Schizosaccharomyces pombe: one gene and its partners. Changing the gene in region 3 together with the main gene of any one other region gives a genetic interaction. Each region holds a gene or a part of one and is shown on either strand. Other genes may lie near its edges. The genes, in order: hob3, hen1 and gyp1.

Region 1 (4,099 bases), 440 kb from region 3:
GTATAAAATGGATCCATTTCGAGAGGCATTCGTAATCATCAAAGGGTCAGCCTTGTACGCCAAATGGGATGCATATCCCATTGTTAGGTATAGTAGTGTCCATGCTGGTCCAAAGGCAGATGCAGGGGGGTGGAACTTTGGTTGCTTTTTGTTCTCATAATCCTTTCTTGGCTTGTAGGAATTCCCAATGAACCAGCCGCAGGCGACTGGAACGAGAGAAGCGGACCACCAATTTTTGGAGATGCTAGTGAATACTTGATAGTTCAAATCCATCACACTTAATAATATCGTTTACTGTTGATTAGCGAAATCGGGAAAAAAAAATTCCACGAATGTAAAGAGTACTAACAACGACTGCTACTAAAAAACCATAAGTATTTCGAATCTTAATGCAGCTCGTTTACAAACAGCAGAGATAATGTCGAGATACAAAAGGTCTTTCAAACCATGCTAAGCAAATAGACATGGAGTAGCTAGAGTTAAGTTTGATAATTAAAACTGACATACATTAAACTAGAAATTTGGAGAAGAGTTGTTGAAACTTCTAATTGAATTGAAGATTAGTAAAATTGGACCATAAAGCTTAACCATCTTTCAATCTTCCATACATTTTAAAAACGGGCACAGTATCGATATGAGAGAAATACGATACTAAACTAAAATAAAAGGAAATACTTAATTGTAGTTTGATCTTGGAAGCTACTCGAATGTATAATTCACCATATTTATAACCTCGTCTATTACGTCACAGAAGGGAAGGAGGAGCGAGGTATTGGGGTATAATACGTGTTCATACTGCGTAAGGTGGTGGTAGATGTGTCTCGCTAAAAAGTGTTTATAAGGAGTTTTCCATAAGATAATATTTTCAGTACAACTAAATTTTTTATATTATTAATATTATATTATAAAATTATGTATATCTATTAGTAGCAGCGCTTGTTTTCTGTAATAGAATATATTTGGGCTGGTCAAATGCGGTTAATTATCATCACACAGATGAGATTTATGGGCAAATTTAGTTATAAAATTAGATAAGACAACAAAGAGAGAAGAAAGGTTTATTTCGGTGCTTTTGTTTCTTACTTTCAGAAGAATCTTTCTCTTGGGCATTATCTGGATGTCTTACTGCCCACAGAACAAACAAACTGTCATTGAATGGCTGAGTTCTTGTTTCAATATCTAATATCGCTATACAATAGCTCTCAAAGTAATGCACCACTACTACAACTTAAGTTCTTCACTTTTTGAGTAAGGATGCAAACTATGAGACCGGGTTTTTTTAGCTCAAATGTCGCTGAAAAGCGTTTTCTTTATAGTTTTATCATGAATGATCTCATATATTGATAAGTAGCAATCGTGTCTTTCCATGTCGAAGCCTCAAAACATTATATCCATATAATGCAAAACCATTTATTCCACCACTTCTAATGAAATTTATAAGTTGGTAAAATGTCCGTATTTCAAATTGCTTCTCCACAATATCTTCCATTTATGAGCAAACGATATTACCTCTATATTGTCAAGTTAAAATGTTTACATTGATATATTATATTAAACTATAACATAACTATATTACCTTATAAGGCGATTTCTGCTGGATGCAGTTAGTGAACAAGAATTATCTGAGGATAGACCTCTAATTGCAGTCAGAGATTTACTACAGATGATTATACAAGAAAAATTTAGATATATTTTTTAAGCGATGTAATTTATTGATAGTGACATGAAAGTAAGCCAACCCTCGAAACCCAAATTTACCACCATTATGCTCTTGCTCTATCAATTAAACACAAAATTAACGACACGCTTTTCATCCTTATCTTTTTATAATTGCATTGTGAAATAAACTATCATTATTCTATTTAACGCAATGATAAACTTCGCAATCAGGCTTTACGTTATGGCTTTGCTTCCGTGAATTGTTCCCTACGCGAATCCTGCTGAATCCACTAAAAGATCCAATGCAGCTTAGCTAGCGAACATTAGCGCAGCGATCAACTGACATAAGATATCTGGGTATGCCGACGCTTCTCTTTTCCATATCACAAAAATGAGTTGGCATGGATTCAAAAAGGCCGTTAACCGAGCGGGTACCTCGGTATGTATTTGAGTGTTGAAGAATTGTCTAACATTGTGGTAGGTTATGATGAAGACGGGTCATGTTGAGCGAACGGTGGATCGGGAATTTGAAACAGAGGAAAGACGTTATAGAACTATGGAATCAGCTGCAAAGAAGCTTCAAAAAGAAGCCAAAGGTTATCTCGATGCTTTGAGAGCCATGACTGCGTCTCAAACTAGAATCGCTAACACAATCGATGCATTTTACGGTGATGCTGGATCGAAGGATGGTGTCAGTGCATACTATCGACAAGTCGTCGAAGACTTGGACGCCGATACCGTAAAAGAGTTGGACGGTCCTTTCCGGACAACGGTGTTGGATCCCATCTCAAGGTTCTGCAGTTACTTTCCCGATATTAATGCCGCTATCACGAAGCGTAATCACAAATTACTTGATCATGATGCTATGAGGGCTAAGGTTCAAAAACTGGTCGACAAGCCTTCCAACGACACTACTAAGCTTCCCCGTACCGAGAAAGAAGCAGCCATGGCGAAGGAGGTCTACGAGACACTCAATAATCAACTGGTCAGTGAGCTTCCGCAACTAATTGCTCTTCGTGTGCCTTATTTGGACCCTAGCTTTGAAGCCCTTGTCAAAATTCAGCTCCGCTTTTGTAGGGAGGGATATGAGAAAATGGCTCAAGTTCAGCAATACTTTGACAACTCTGTACGCGAAGACTATTCCAATGGTTTGTTGGATGATAAAGTTGAACAAGTTTTACAGAGTATGCGGGATCTTTCCATCGCCGGTTTGAACAACAGTCAGTAGACATCGGTTTTTTAAACACGATTGTATGTGTGCATAGCGCTATCACTCTGTTTTCTCTTTCCTTTTCTCCTCCGAAATAATTGTTACTACACGTAACCATGATCTCTTATCCCTCAATACTTTTTGTTTAACATATCCTTTCTCTTTTACTACTTTATTACCATCTTATCTTGTTTATCTGAAGTGGTTCACGGAATGTTTTCAATTTATTCAATTTTTTGTGATACATAAATATTTTCCATACTTATCTATCCTCGAGTATTTTCTATTGGTGTTACTGGAATTGAAGGGAAAGCCAGCACATATTTATTAAAGACTCAACTGTGAAGCTTCTACATCCTTTCAGTTTCGTAACGTTTCCTTTATAATTTTTTAATTGGGAATAGTTATCAAATTATCAGATAAACAAATTGGTTTTCCAATATTGTCTGTCGACCCAGCGATTCATCTACTAAACTGTGCTTATTTTCTATCTCGTACCAAGTTTTGTTCTAATAAATAACTATTGTTAAGTAAGTTTAGACCAAATCTTAAAATATAATAATTAGAAAAAAAAATGCTTTTGTTGACTTACGAATTATTAATTTGAATTGTAATTTATTAATTTTCCAAACAATAGCTATCTTGTAAGCTGTAAGTCAAGTTGGAAGTGGGTTTATTTCTATCTGTGCAGCGTTCGATGTTTGATTTTCGAACATGGACTTAAGCGTTCAATTTTACAATAGCTGTGAATGTAGATTATCGCTACTTTAAAATCTAAAATATAGTATGGAGCTACAACTGCTAGTAACGTCTATACAGGAAATGATATTAACCAAAAATCTTTCTGACTAAGAACATAAATTTAGTAATCTAATTCTGGAACCTCCTGGTTAGGCGCATCCAAATCTTGATAAGTTCTATAGAATTCCCGTCTGTGGATCATGGGTTCTTGCCTCGAATAAGATTTTTGTGATGATGCTCCAGAAGTTATCTCCTCGTCATTTCGTCGACTATAGCTTGTTGTTGGAAATGTATAGTTTGCGTTAATATTTCTGAAACCAACGTAGGGCTTGTTTAAAATCTGTAAGGATACATACGACGTGCTTACCACTTTGGGATCCATAGCCCTACATGGGTCAAGCACATATCCATAGAGACATATAGCCACCTTTTTAATGTGATCCAACCAATCCTTATGCTTTTTATTTATATGCTTTCTGACAAACTCAG
Region 2 (5,482 bases), 2.0 Mb from region 3:
GAACACAAGTATATGAATTTCAAAATCAGGCTGAAATGCTTTCAAGTTGGTCAAAATTTGTTCGTGATGTTGACCCAGATGTTTTAATTGGGTACAACATCTGCAACTTTGATATCCCTTACCTCTTGGATCGAGCAAAAAGCTTACGCATTCACAATTTCCCATTACTTGGCCGTATTCATAATTTTTTTTCTGTCGCAAAGGAAACCACGTTTTCAAGTAAAGCATATGGTACTCGTGAAAGCAAAACCACTAGTATTCCTGGGCGTTTGCAGCTTGATATGTTACAAGTAATGCAGCGTGATTTTAAGCTTCGATCTTACTCTTTAAATGCAGTCTGCTCTCAGTTTCTAGGCGAGCAAAAAGAAGATGTACACTATTCTATCATCACTGACTTGCAAAATGGCACTGCCGATTCTAGAAGACGTTTAGCTATTTATTGTCTGAAAGATGCATATTTACCCCAACGCTTAATGGACAAATTAATGTGTTTTGTTAACTATACTGAAATGGCAAGAGTAACAGGTGTACCGTTTAATTTTCTTCTTGCTAGAGGCCAACAGATTAAAGTTATTTCTCAATTGTTTCGCAAAGCTCTTCAACATGACCTAGTTGTTCCAAATATACGTGTAAATGGAACAGATGAGCAATATGAAGGTGCTACAGTCATTGAACCGATTAAAGGATACTATGATACCCCTATTGCAACACTGGATTTTAGTTCACTTTATCCTTCGATTATGCAAGCCCATAATTTATGCTATACGACATTACTTGACTCAAATACTGCAGAATTATTAAAACTTAAGCAAGATGTTGACTACTCAGTGACTCCGAACGGAGATTATTTCGTTAAACCACATGTTCGTAAAGGACTACTCCCTATTATCTTAGCTGATTTACTTAATGCACGTAAGAAAGCAAAAGCAGATCTAAAAAAGGAAACGGACCCATTCAAAAAGGCTGTTTTGGATGGTAGACAGCTAGCTTTAAAAGTAAGTGCTAATTCAGTATATGGATTTACTGGTGCTACCAACGGACGTTTGCCGTGTTTAGCAATTTCTTCTTCTGTTACCTCTTATGGTCGACAAATGATTGAAAAAACCAAGGATGTTGTAGAAAAGAGATACAGAATTGAGAATGGATACTCTCACGATGCAGTTGTAATCTATGGTGACACTGATTCTGTTATGGTTAAGTTTGGCGTTAAAACGTTACCTGAAGCCATGAAATTAGGAGAGGAAGCAGCTAATTATGTTTCAGACCAGTTTCCGAATCCTATTAAACTGGAGTTTGAGAAAGTGTACTTTCCATATCTTTTAATTTCCAAAAAACGTTATGCAGGATTATTTTGGACTCGTACAGATACTTATGATAAAATGGACTCTAAAGGAATAGAAACTGTCAGAAGAGATAACTGTCCTCTAGTATCTTATGTGATTGACACAGCTTTGAGAAAAATGTTAATTGATCAGGATGTAGAGGGTGCACAGTTGTTTACAAAAAAAGTTATTTCCGATTTGTTACAAAACAAAATTGATATGTCACAACTTGTAATCACAAAGGCATTATCAAAAACTGATTATGCTGCCAAAATGGCACACGTTGAATTGGCTGAGCGAATGCGTAAACGAGATGCTGGCTCCGCCCCAGCCATAGGAGATCGCGTTGCATACGTTATTATTAAAGGTGCACAAGGTGATCAATTTTATATGAGGTCGGAGGACCCTATATATGTATTGGAAAATAACATTCCTATTGATGCAAAATATTATTTGGAAAATCAACTCTCCAAACCTTTGCTTAGAATTTTTGAGCCTATTCTTGGTGAAAAAGCTAGCTCTTTACTTCATGGTGACCATACTCGGACGATTTCCATGGCAGCCCCCAGTGTTGGAGGAATAATGAAATTCGCAGTAAAGGTTGAGACCTGTCTTGGATGCAAAGCTCCCATAAAAAAAGGTAAAACTGCTTTATGTGAGAATTGTCTAAATAGATCGGCGGAACTGTATCAACGTCAGGTTGCTCAAGTGAATGATTTAGAAGTTCGTTTTGCTCGCTTATGGACTCAATGTCAGCGATGCCAAGGAAGTATGCATCAAGACGTCATTTGTACCAGTAGAGACTGCCCCATATTTTATATGCGAATTGCAGAACACAAGAAACTTCAGCAATCTGTTGACTTACTGAAAAGATTTGATGAAATGTCCTGGTGAAAAAGATGGATGTTTTTAATTACTAAATGTGTATATCAAACGTAATGATGAAAAGTTATAATAAAAATTCTACTTTTCTTAAGTACTTTTGCAATGCGAAAACTAAACGAGTTTGCCAAAGCTATACCTTTATGTTTGCTTTTTTTTAATTCAGGACAATATGATAAGTAAATTGAATCATCATAATGGAAGGCATGTCGAATGAGAGGCGAAGACTCCCAGATAAACAAGAAAGGTAATTTTACTGACAAAGCACACTTGCCAGCAATAACCTGGAATAAAAGTAAACAGTGACGTCCAAATAAATGATCAAAAAATGCTTTTTTCAGAAGATTCATAAATTGCTGCACTGTTGGAGGAAATAGTTGCTCCATAAATGGGTATGTAATCTTTTTGTAAAGAAGGATGCTTGAATTTTGGTCTTTTAAGAAGCAATGAGAAGCAGCATTGTTTTTAGATTGATGAAATACTGCGATTTGGGTGCAGAAACCGTAAGTAGATGATGGGCGAAAATGTAACAAATCGTCACCATCTATTAGATCATTTAGCAAACCACAGCCCGTAAATTCAACAGTATACTCTGGGTATCTTTTACAAATTTTATAAGCCCATTTAGCAAACTCTTTTCGATCCCATTCAAAAACGTGTTCAGGATGTCTAAAATTGGTAGAAGTACGAGATGATATACTACTTGTCAAGGTTGATAGTTTCTCAAAGATTGTGTTAAATTCAAAATTCGGAGTTGACACTACGCAAACATTGGGCTTCAAGTTTCCAAAAACAAGTTTTTCAAAGGCTAAAATCTCTGCAACTTGACAATGCTCAATAAACTCTGAAGCTACAACCGCATCAACATGTTTATAATGAGTAAAATCTTTAATATTACCAAGCAATAATTCAATATGTAGCGGTCGCCAACGTAGTTGTAAAAAGTCTTCGGTTCTAACCTGTAAAGCCTCAGTAGCTCTTTCAATACTTTGTTCGTTAATATCAATACCGGCCAGAAATTCTATAGGCACTTGATCATTGCAAGGTACTAAATATGATAGAAAACGAGCATCTCCACATCCAATGTCTAACAAAGATCGCACAGGGAAGCCTCCTTGAAGTATTTTAAATAATTTCCTTCGACGCTGTACATGCAAAGGTGGGTAAAAGCTAGAGACACCCATTGTCTAAACTCAAAGTATTTTTGGTACACTTTCTTCACGTTAGTCAAATAACTACCTATTAACTGTGAATGTTCGTTTCAAAACCACTATTTAAGCCTTTTCAAATTCATTACGAAGCGAATTGTTATTAATTCTTTGCTAAGTCCATTGCAATATGATTTCGATGACTGCCGTTAAGACACCGAACCAAATTTAATTGAAAAGGGAATTGTTGACTAGTGCGAAGTGTCATTTTCAACGTTAAATAATAAAATTATCTTAGCTCCGAATCTATACTTTTCAATTTCCTCTTTAAAATTGTTATAATAGCATGATATTTAATTACAATAAAATATGTAGCATTATGCAAAACGAGAACAAAAAAAGCACATACAACCAGCGAAGAGTAGACGAAAATTATACGGCAAATTTCAAAAGAATGTACCTATATCCATTTTTTACAGCGCTCATCATAGATGACCATTTACTCAGAAGCTCCTCGCCGAGCAAGCATATCGGCTTGTTGATTACCGTAATCGGTACTGTGTCCTTTCACGTACTCTAGCGAAACATTTCTGTCACTCATCAAATCTGAAGCGCGGTTGATCAAATCCAAATTTTTTACAGGTTGTGAATTGCTAGTCTTAAAGTCATTTTTCTTCCATTTAGGCAGCCATGTGGTTAGTGACTTAATGGAATAATTGCTGTCAGAGCGGATGGTCAAATCGCCAGATGTATTTTCAAGGGCTAGGATTATGGCTTGCAATTCCGCACGATTGTTGGTTTGCTCTTCCCCAGCCAACGGTACTGAAATATTTCTTGGGTCATCATTTCCGAAAAAAACTCCACAGCCAGCAACAGCTCCTTTTTTCCCATTTCGCAAACTAGAACCGTCAGCATAGACGACCTGTCGATCCGAGCACGCAATTGATTTTTCATGAGTGTCATTCGAAAATATTTCAATATCTTTTTCGGTACTATAACTTCTAGAAATTTTCTTTCTATATTTATCGGAGTGTCTAGCAGAGTAATTTGAGGAACTAGAAGAATATGGAGAGTACCCATAACTTGTTGTACTGCGGCGATATGGGCCAGAAGACGAGGAGTAGCGACTTCCTTCGGTCCTGCAAAATTCCTGAGCAGCCTCATAGCTGTCAAATTTCTTGTAGCGATTACCTCCATAACCTTTCACCTGATCCGACGCCTCATCCCTAAAAATTAGTAAGAGTTTGTTAAACAACAAGGTGTATCCATCAAGGAAATGTTAATAAGAGATCATCTTGAAAAAACCGATTCAGATTGAATTGAAGCAAAGCATACGACCGTATCGAAACTTGCTTAACGTGAAACTTATATTTAACAACGAAACCATTTTCTTGAGATACGCAGTCTTACCATGTACTATATATACCAGTATTTCGACCACGCGCTACTGCATAGTATGCACGCTTATTTCCACCCATTTCGTAATGCGAAGATTCAAAAATAGCTTTAAAATAGTAAAACTTAGTAAAACTTGGGAGTTTTTCCCAAAACTTTGCAAAAATACTTGTAGTTGACAAATTGAGCTGTAGTCTTATGAGTTATTGAAAATAGTGCAGAAAAAAGAAGGATTTGGATTTATAAATTTATATTAATTTGTAAAAGAGTTCAATTGACGATTAATAATGGTAGAGCATCAGGAAATGTCACATATCTGGACTACTGCAGTACGATACATAATAAAACGGGTTTGCTTATTTACTAGCTGCATAATCTCTGCACACTATATTACGGTAAGCTAGTTAGATCTCCGCGACTGTTATACCGCCTGACATTAAAATTAATACACAATTGATAGTATATTTTATTAGTTAAAAGCTCCTTAAATATAGAATACTCATTTTATGTCCTTAGCTCATTTAATGTAGTCTAATTTCAAACAAGCAGAAAAATGTATTGTTTGTTTAGTAATAATTGTTTAAGTCATTTTACCTTTTTAAGATTATACTTTCATAAAGAATCCTCATCTCTGTTGGCCTCTGAGTAGTTTGCAAATTGCGCAATTGTTATTCTAAAAAGAATCTTTTAGTCAGAGAAAAGATTATGCTTTTGCAGTGGGTATTGCCGCGCGTA
Region 3 (5,134 bases):
TACTCCGTTATTGGATATACAGTCAGACTTTACAACCCCAAACTTTCTGCCGCTTGCTAAAAGATACAGATCCATTTCTTTCTTATCGCTTAATTTGCGCTCCTAAGCCAGACGTAGAGGTAATAGGCAAAGTCTCCCTTATATAGTAAATATAGTTTGAAAAACAGTCACTGCAAATGCTGTTGTGGTAAGCAGTTGCAAAATCAGCATGAAAAAGCTATGAGTATTGAAATTTAAAAGATAAGAAATTGATCCTATAGTTATAAATAAATGATTTCTTCTTCATGAAAAGTAATACAATGATTCTATAACGCAATGGAACGTGCTTCTTTATTTCAGTTCAAAAACTGTATTAAGTTGTATAAATATTCAAAAATTGTCACAGCGTTTTCATTATCTACTCTAATTCATCCATACATTTTGGTCGAATCAAGGAAGAAGACACAGACCATGTAGTACAGTCTTGTCGATTTTCATCATCTCTTACCAATACAAAAGTCGTACTTTGAAATCGTAATGTACAATCTTGGATAAAACCAAAGAAAACATGACTAGCATAGAAGAGAAAAAAAAATGATATTAATAACGATTCATGTAAAGTATCACGCCATGGACTAAACAATCGTTGAATAGTAAAGTAGTAACGTAAGTCAAACTGGAAAAGGGTTAGAGAACGGTCGAACGTAAGAGTAAAGACAAATTACATATAAGTAATAGTGAATATACAATTTAATTCAAGGGTTAATAACTTCCCAAAAATGATTAAGGTAGTTCAGACTTTCTTCAAGAGAAATACTTTATCCTGCATGATAAATTCTAAAAGTCGCAAACTCAATCCAGCTGAGTTAAGGAGCAAACTTGAAAAGTTATTTAGGTGAATGAAAGGAAAATTTATTAGAAGAAGTAAGACTTAGACTCATAAGCTCATAAACATAGAAAAGCAACACAATGAATTAACGAAGGAGATTTGTCAACCTAATTATAAAAATGCATAGGAAGGATGGCATTTGAAAAAGGCTGCTATGCCAAAATAAGCAAGGGATTAAGGAAGAAGACGAATGCTCTGAAAAGGGAAAACGAAATGGCTACTATGCCTTACCTTTTCAAATGTGCACCAGCTCCACTGTACAATGATTTCCATAGGAAAGCTTCAGATAGTAAAATTTCGATATCCTTTGTGCTCCAATCTTTTGTCGGAATAGACTGCAGAAAAATTAATATATCCTGAAATTCCATCTTTTGTAATTCACTCGACCATTTCACTAAAAATGCAGCACATACGTAGAGGTGAAACTCAGAAAATCCTTGGACACCTTCCGCCATGTATGTATCCCACATCCGAATGATATTCGAAATACTAAGCTCGCGCATTAAAAGACAGTTCATCCAGCGAAAACTAAACTGAAGGAAATCAACACCCTCCATTTGAAGATGTTTTACTAATGGCTCATCTATACGTAAAGTAAGCTCTCGCAGATTATTCACCTGTCGACGGATTCCAGGCTGTGCATGTATATAGTTATCTTGGATACCATCTAACAATTTAGAAAGACACCAGTAAGCATCAGCCTCAATATCATTACGATTAGTTTCATCAAGAAGAGCAATGTCATATGTCATTGGGTCCTTATCGCCGATATATTCGGACAAAAACACCTGAATAAAAGGAGTAACTAAATCGCTGATGCCTTGTACATATCCGCTGGCTGGGTGCCGTGAGGCCCAAACATATAAAATACGCTCAAGCATACGCTGCGTCAATGGGTTTTGGTAAAGAAGAATAGAGGGGTTCGTCCTCGGAACGTCAAGGACAATTTGTCGCCAAATAGTTTGATCCAAAGGTGGTGGCTCTGTATTTGTATTAAAGCAGGAATCTTTTGCTGCGTTATATTCGTCTCTCTTTCGCTTTAAAGTGACTTCACGACGAGAAGCATTACAAGGTAAATATCCTAACAAGTATTTCCAGACAATAGGTCTATGTTCGGAGGGAATTCCATTCCAAGCCAATGTACGAAGCGCATTTAAATCCACAATTGGAGCATCAAGAATTCGCGAAAACTTCTTGATCCGAGAGACAAGCGCATTGCTTTCAGCAACCTCAACTTCTACAGAACGATGGGCTAGTTTAGCGGGTAAAGGAAAACGACCAGACGAATGAAGCTTTTGTCTAGAAGTGGTAGTATCCACGCCATTTTGAGGAAATAAGGAGCGGCTTGAAGAATTTGGAGTAGTACTTCGAGCCATACGAGGAAGAGATTTTGAGGCTTTAATATTCGAAACTCCCCAATCGTCATCTGTCTGTGACAAATATTTGGCAAACTTTGCAGACACTTTTTTGCCTACAACAGCTTCCAAGGAAAGAGAAGATCTCGCAGAAGGTGCATAGATTTTAGACTCACTAGCAGATTCGGGTCTAGTTATGGACCGGGCCAAAGAGATATGATCTTTTGGGGGTTGATCTGAGTAAACAGAGTCGTCCAATCTGAACGGTTGAGCTTTGGAAGAAGTGCTTCGACCACGATGGTGATGGGTCCGGCTTCGATCCAAAACAGTAACTGGATCCGAAGTGGCGCTAGAGGATCCATTCCATAAGCTGGAGAGAGTTTTTAAGGCGGACGACTTTTTTGACTGAGATTCCATAGTGGAAAATCTTAAAATACGAGAAGAAAAATTGTTTTTACAAAATGAAGCAGTAATTTGATAGCCTTGATGGACACAACAAATTTAGCAAATAACAGATACTCTTTGAATTTATCGCCAAAATAAAATACTTTTGGTTAAGATGCAAAAAACAGTTTCAAAATTTGCTGTAAAAAGTAGATGAAACGTTTTAGAAGGCAATAACTTCAAATGTTTAACGACGAAGGATCTTAGGCACCACTCATAGACTTACCGGACTTGAAGTCTTATTCTTTTCTTATCAAATGAAAACTATTTTCAAAAAAAAAAAACTTAAGCTATTAGAAGCAAAGCCGTGTCTGTGGGTTCCATCCAAACGAAAACGCACCAGCTCGAGATCTTGTGATCTATTAGAACAGCGCGGAATTTGAACACGAACAAATGTTTCGAGAAAACCTTAGATACAATCCAATACACTAGTATATTTACAAATTTTAACCGAATATCAACGAAATTGTGAAGATTTACTCGGTCTGTGCAGTTGCCAAGGCAGTTGCCCTTATTTGGTGGAAGAACAAAACAATAGGGAGGAAAACAGTAGGTGTATGGAGTTTCTTATATATGAGGTTTTTTTAATAAAAGGAGCAAGGTTTAATACTTTAATTATTTATCTCACTTTTTAGTTAAAGGAAATTCGTTTTAAGCCATGAACAGTTGATAGAAGGATTTTGGCCGTGCATGGTCTTATTGCTTGGGAATGTTGGGTTTATATGCGCAGAGTAGTAAAAGATACACAGCTAGGTCTCATTTAACAATGTTTATATCTATGAGTTCTATCTCTTCTTTACTTAAGTTGCTGCCAGTAAAAGTGAACAATGTAATTTTGACAATTGTGACTAGTCGCTTTTCAAAACAAAAAAGAGAAAAGTATAAACGTTGATTAAGAAACGTAAAAAAGTATTTCCTGTCAATAATGAATCTCTGATTTTATTGTTATTTTTCGTATTGACATCCTAGTTACCTAATATAATACGATGAATTATAAGCATTTTAATACCTACTAAGTTTAAATTTTCCTGAAATACAGTCTAAGATTTTCCTGTTCCTATATATTTCTAACAAAACACATTTTTCAAGTAGATGATCAACGAATCTAGTCTAACTTTCAATCCCAGTCTTTTTTTTAGCAGTTTCGGGTATTTGTTTTCAAACATGTATTTATATCTTTGATTCAGTAAAATTACTTCAACAAATGCATTGAAGAGGAATGATTTAAAAAACATATACGGTTTTCAATGTTTTAATGAACAGAGCAATTTTCCAAATGTTGTCTTGTCAAGAAATTGTAATGTATGTTCTCCAAAACTGACATGAGAACAAAATAAATATGTACTAAGATAAATTTTATATTGAGAACAATCAAAAATTATAGTAAGTTTAATAATCATCCAAAAAACACTTTCCTTCTCTCGTTTACATCTTGGAAAACACTCTAGAGTATCGTTATTCATTGTGATGAAATCGAAACTACAACTCCAATCCAATAATAAAGGTTACTGTATGACAATAAAATAAACCATACATCTTCCCTTTAAGTCGTATTACGACTTGTAAGAAGATTTCCTGGTTGCCAAAATATCATTCATAGTACACAATAATATTATGTGCAAAGGTATTGAAATGAATAAGTACGAATCAAGGTAAATGATTATTATTCCCAAATGAGCTCAAACAAAAAGCAAAAAGAATAAAAGGAAGCCTACAGCACCCCGGATTCCCATGTTGTCTCCAACCATAGTACTAACGAGGCCCTCAGACGCTTAACTGCAGTGATCGGACGGGAACTGGTGTTTTCGCCTAGGTATGGCCGTAGACGTTTAAAGTAGAATATTTAAACATTTTAAAGAAAAAATTAATAATCAGTCAGAGTACTGTCGATTCACTAGAAATTTTCTATTTATTGTTTATATATTCATACAGTAAGATCGTGAAGTATTCAAATCCTTGGTATATAGAATATTATCTTCATGCATTCAAAGATCGTTTAGGAGCTATTTGTACAAGCTACTTGGTGCATATTTGTCTGTTTATATTGCAAAGTCAAGAATTTTAACATAGAGAAAGAATAAAATGAAATGGAATAAAGAAATGTTAAATAATGTTATGAATCAGACTTGTTCTTGAATTGCTAGTCATAACAACTTCTATAAGACTCAACACGTTTACGCGCTTTTTATGAATGTAATACGTTAGACAAATTAAATAGACAAGTACAGTCTATGTGTCATTGACTCAACACTTAAGCATTTATATGATCTACAAAGATGAAGTCTATAACATGATCTATCACGTATTATGAATGCTTAGCCATGGCTGCTTTAAGAAGATCATCTTTTAATCCATAAAACAACATTGTTTTGGCACGAAGCGAATGATCCGTTTTGCTTCGCTTTGCTGGAATAAAAATGAAGCTGTCAGAACGAATCCTATACATCGTTAAAATAGAGTTATTAAC

Evidence for each region.
Region 1: mutations in gyp1 (region 3) and hob3 impair growth when combined (synthetic growth defect), as found in Schizosaccharomyces pombe (one large-scale study listed by BioGRID).
Region 2: mutations in gyp1 (region 3) and hen1 together harm fitness less than expected from each alone (positive genetic interaction), as found in Schizosaccharomyces pombe (one large-scale study listed by BioGRID).

The regions. Positions count from the first base shown.
Region 1 is NC_003423.3:1,221,148-1,225,246, reverse strand, and holds hob3 (BAR adaptor protein Hob3), read left to right. Parts: upstream 1-2,041; 5' UTR 2,042-2,050; coding exon 2,051-2,098; exon of another isoform or gene 2,099-2,140; coding exon 2,141-2,887; 3' UTR 2,888-3,503; downstream 3,504-4,099. Other genes in the region: tsp0 (tspO-like protein), read right to left, coding at 1-273; pir2 (C2H2-type zinc finger domain-containing protein), read right to left, coding at 3,732-4,099. UniProt on the Schizosaccharomyces pombe protein: Involved in cytokinesis and septation where it has a role in the localization of F-actin.
Region 2 is NC_003423.3:2,744,940-2,750,421, forward strand, and holds hen1 (S-adenosylmethionine-dependent methyltransferase), read right to left. Parts: upstream 3,389-5,482; coding exon 2,252-3,388; 3' UTR 2,217-2,251; downstream 1-2,216. Other genes in the region: DNA polymerase delta catalytic subunit Cdc6, read left to right, coding at 1-2,216; ribonuclease H Rnh1, read right to left, coding at 3,852-4,578, 4,763-4,830.
Region 3 is NC_003423.3:782,619-787,752, reverse strand, and holds gyp1 (GTPase-activating protein Gyp1), read right to left. Parts: upstream 3,188-5,134; 5' UTR 2,641-3,187; coding exon 1,096-2,640; 3' UTR 608-1,095; downstream 1-607. Other genes in the region: SPOM_SPBC530.02 (transporter), read right to left, coding at 1-75. UniProt on the Schizosaccharomyces pombe protein: Stimulates specifically the GTPase activity of ypt1. Functions on the Golgi as a negative regulator of ypt1.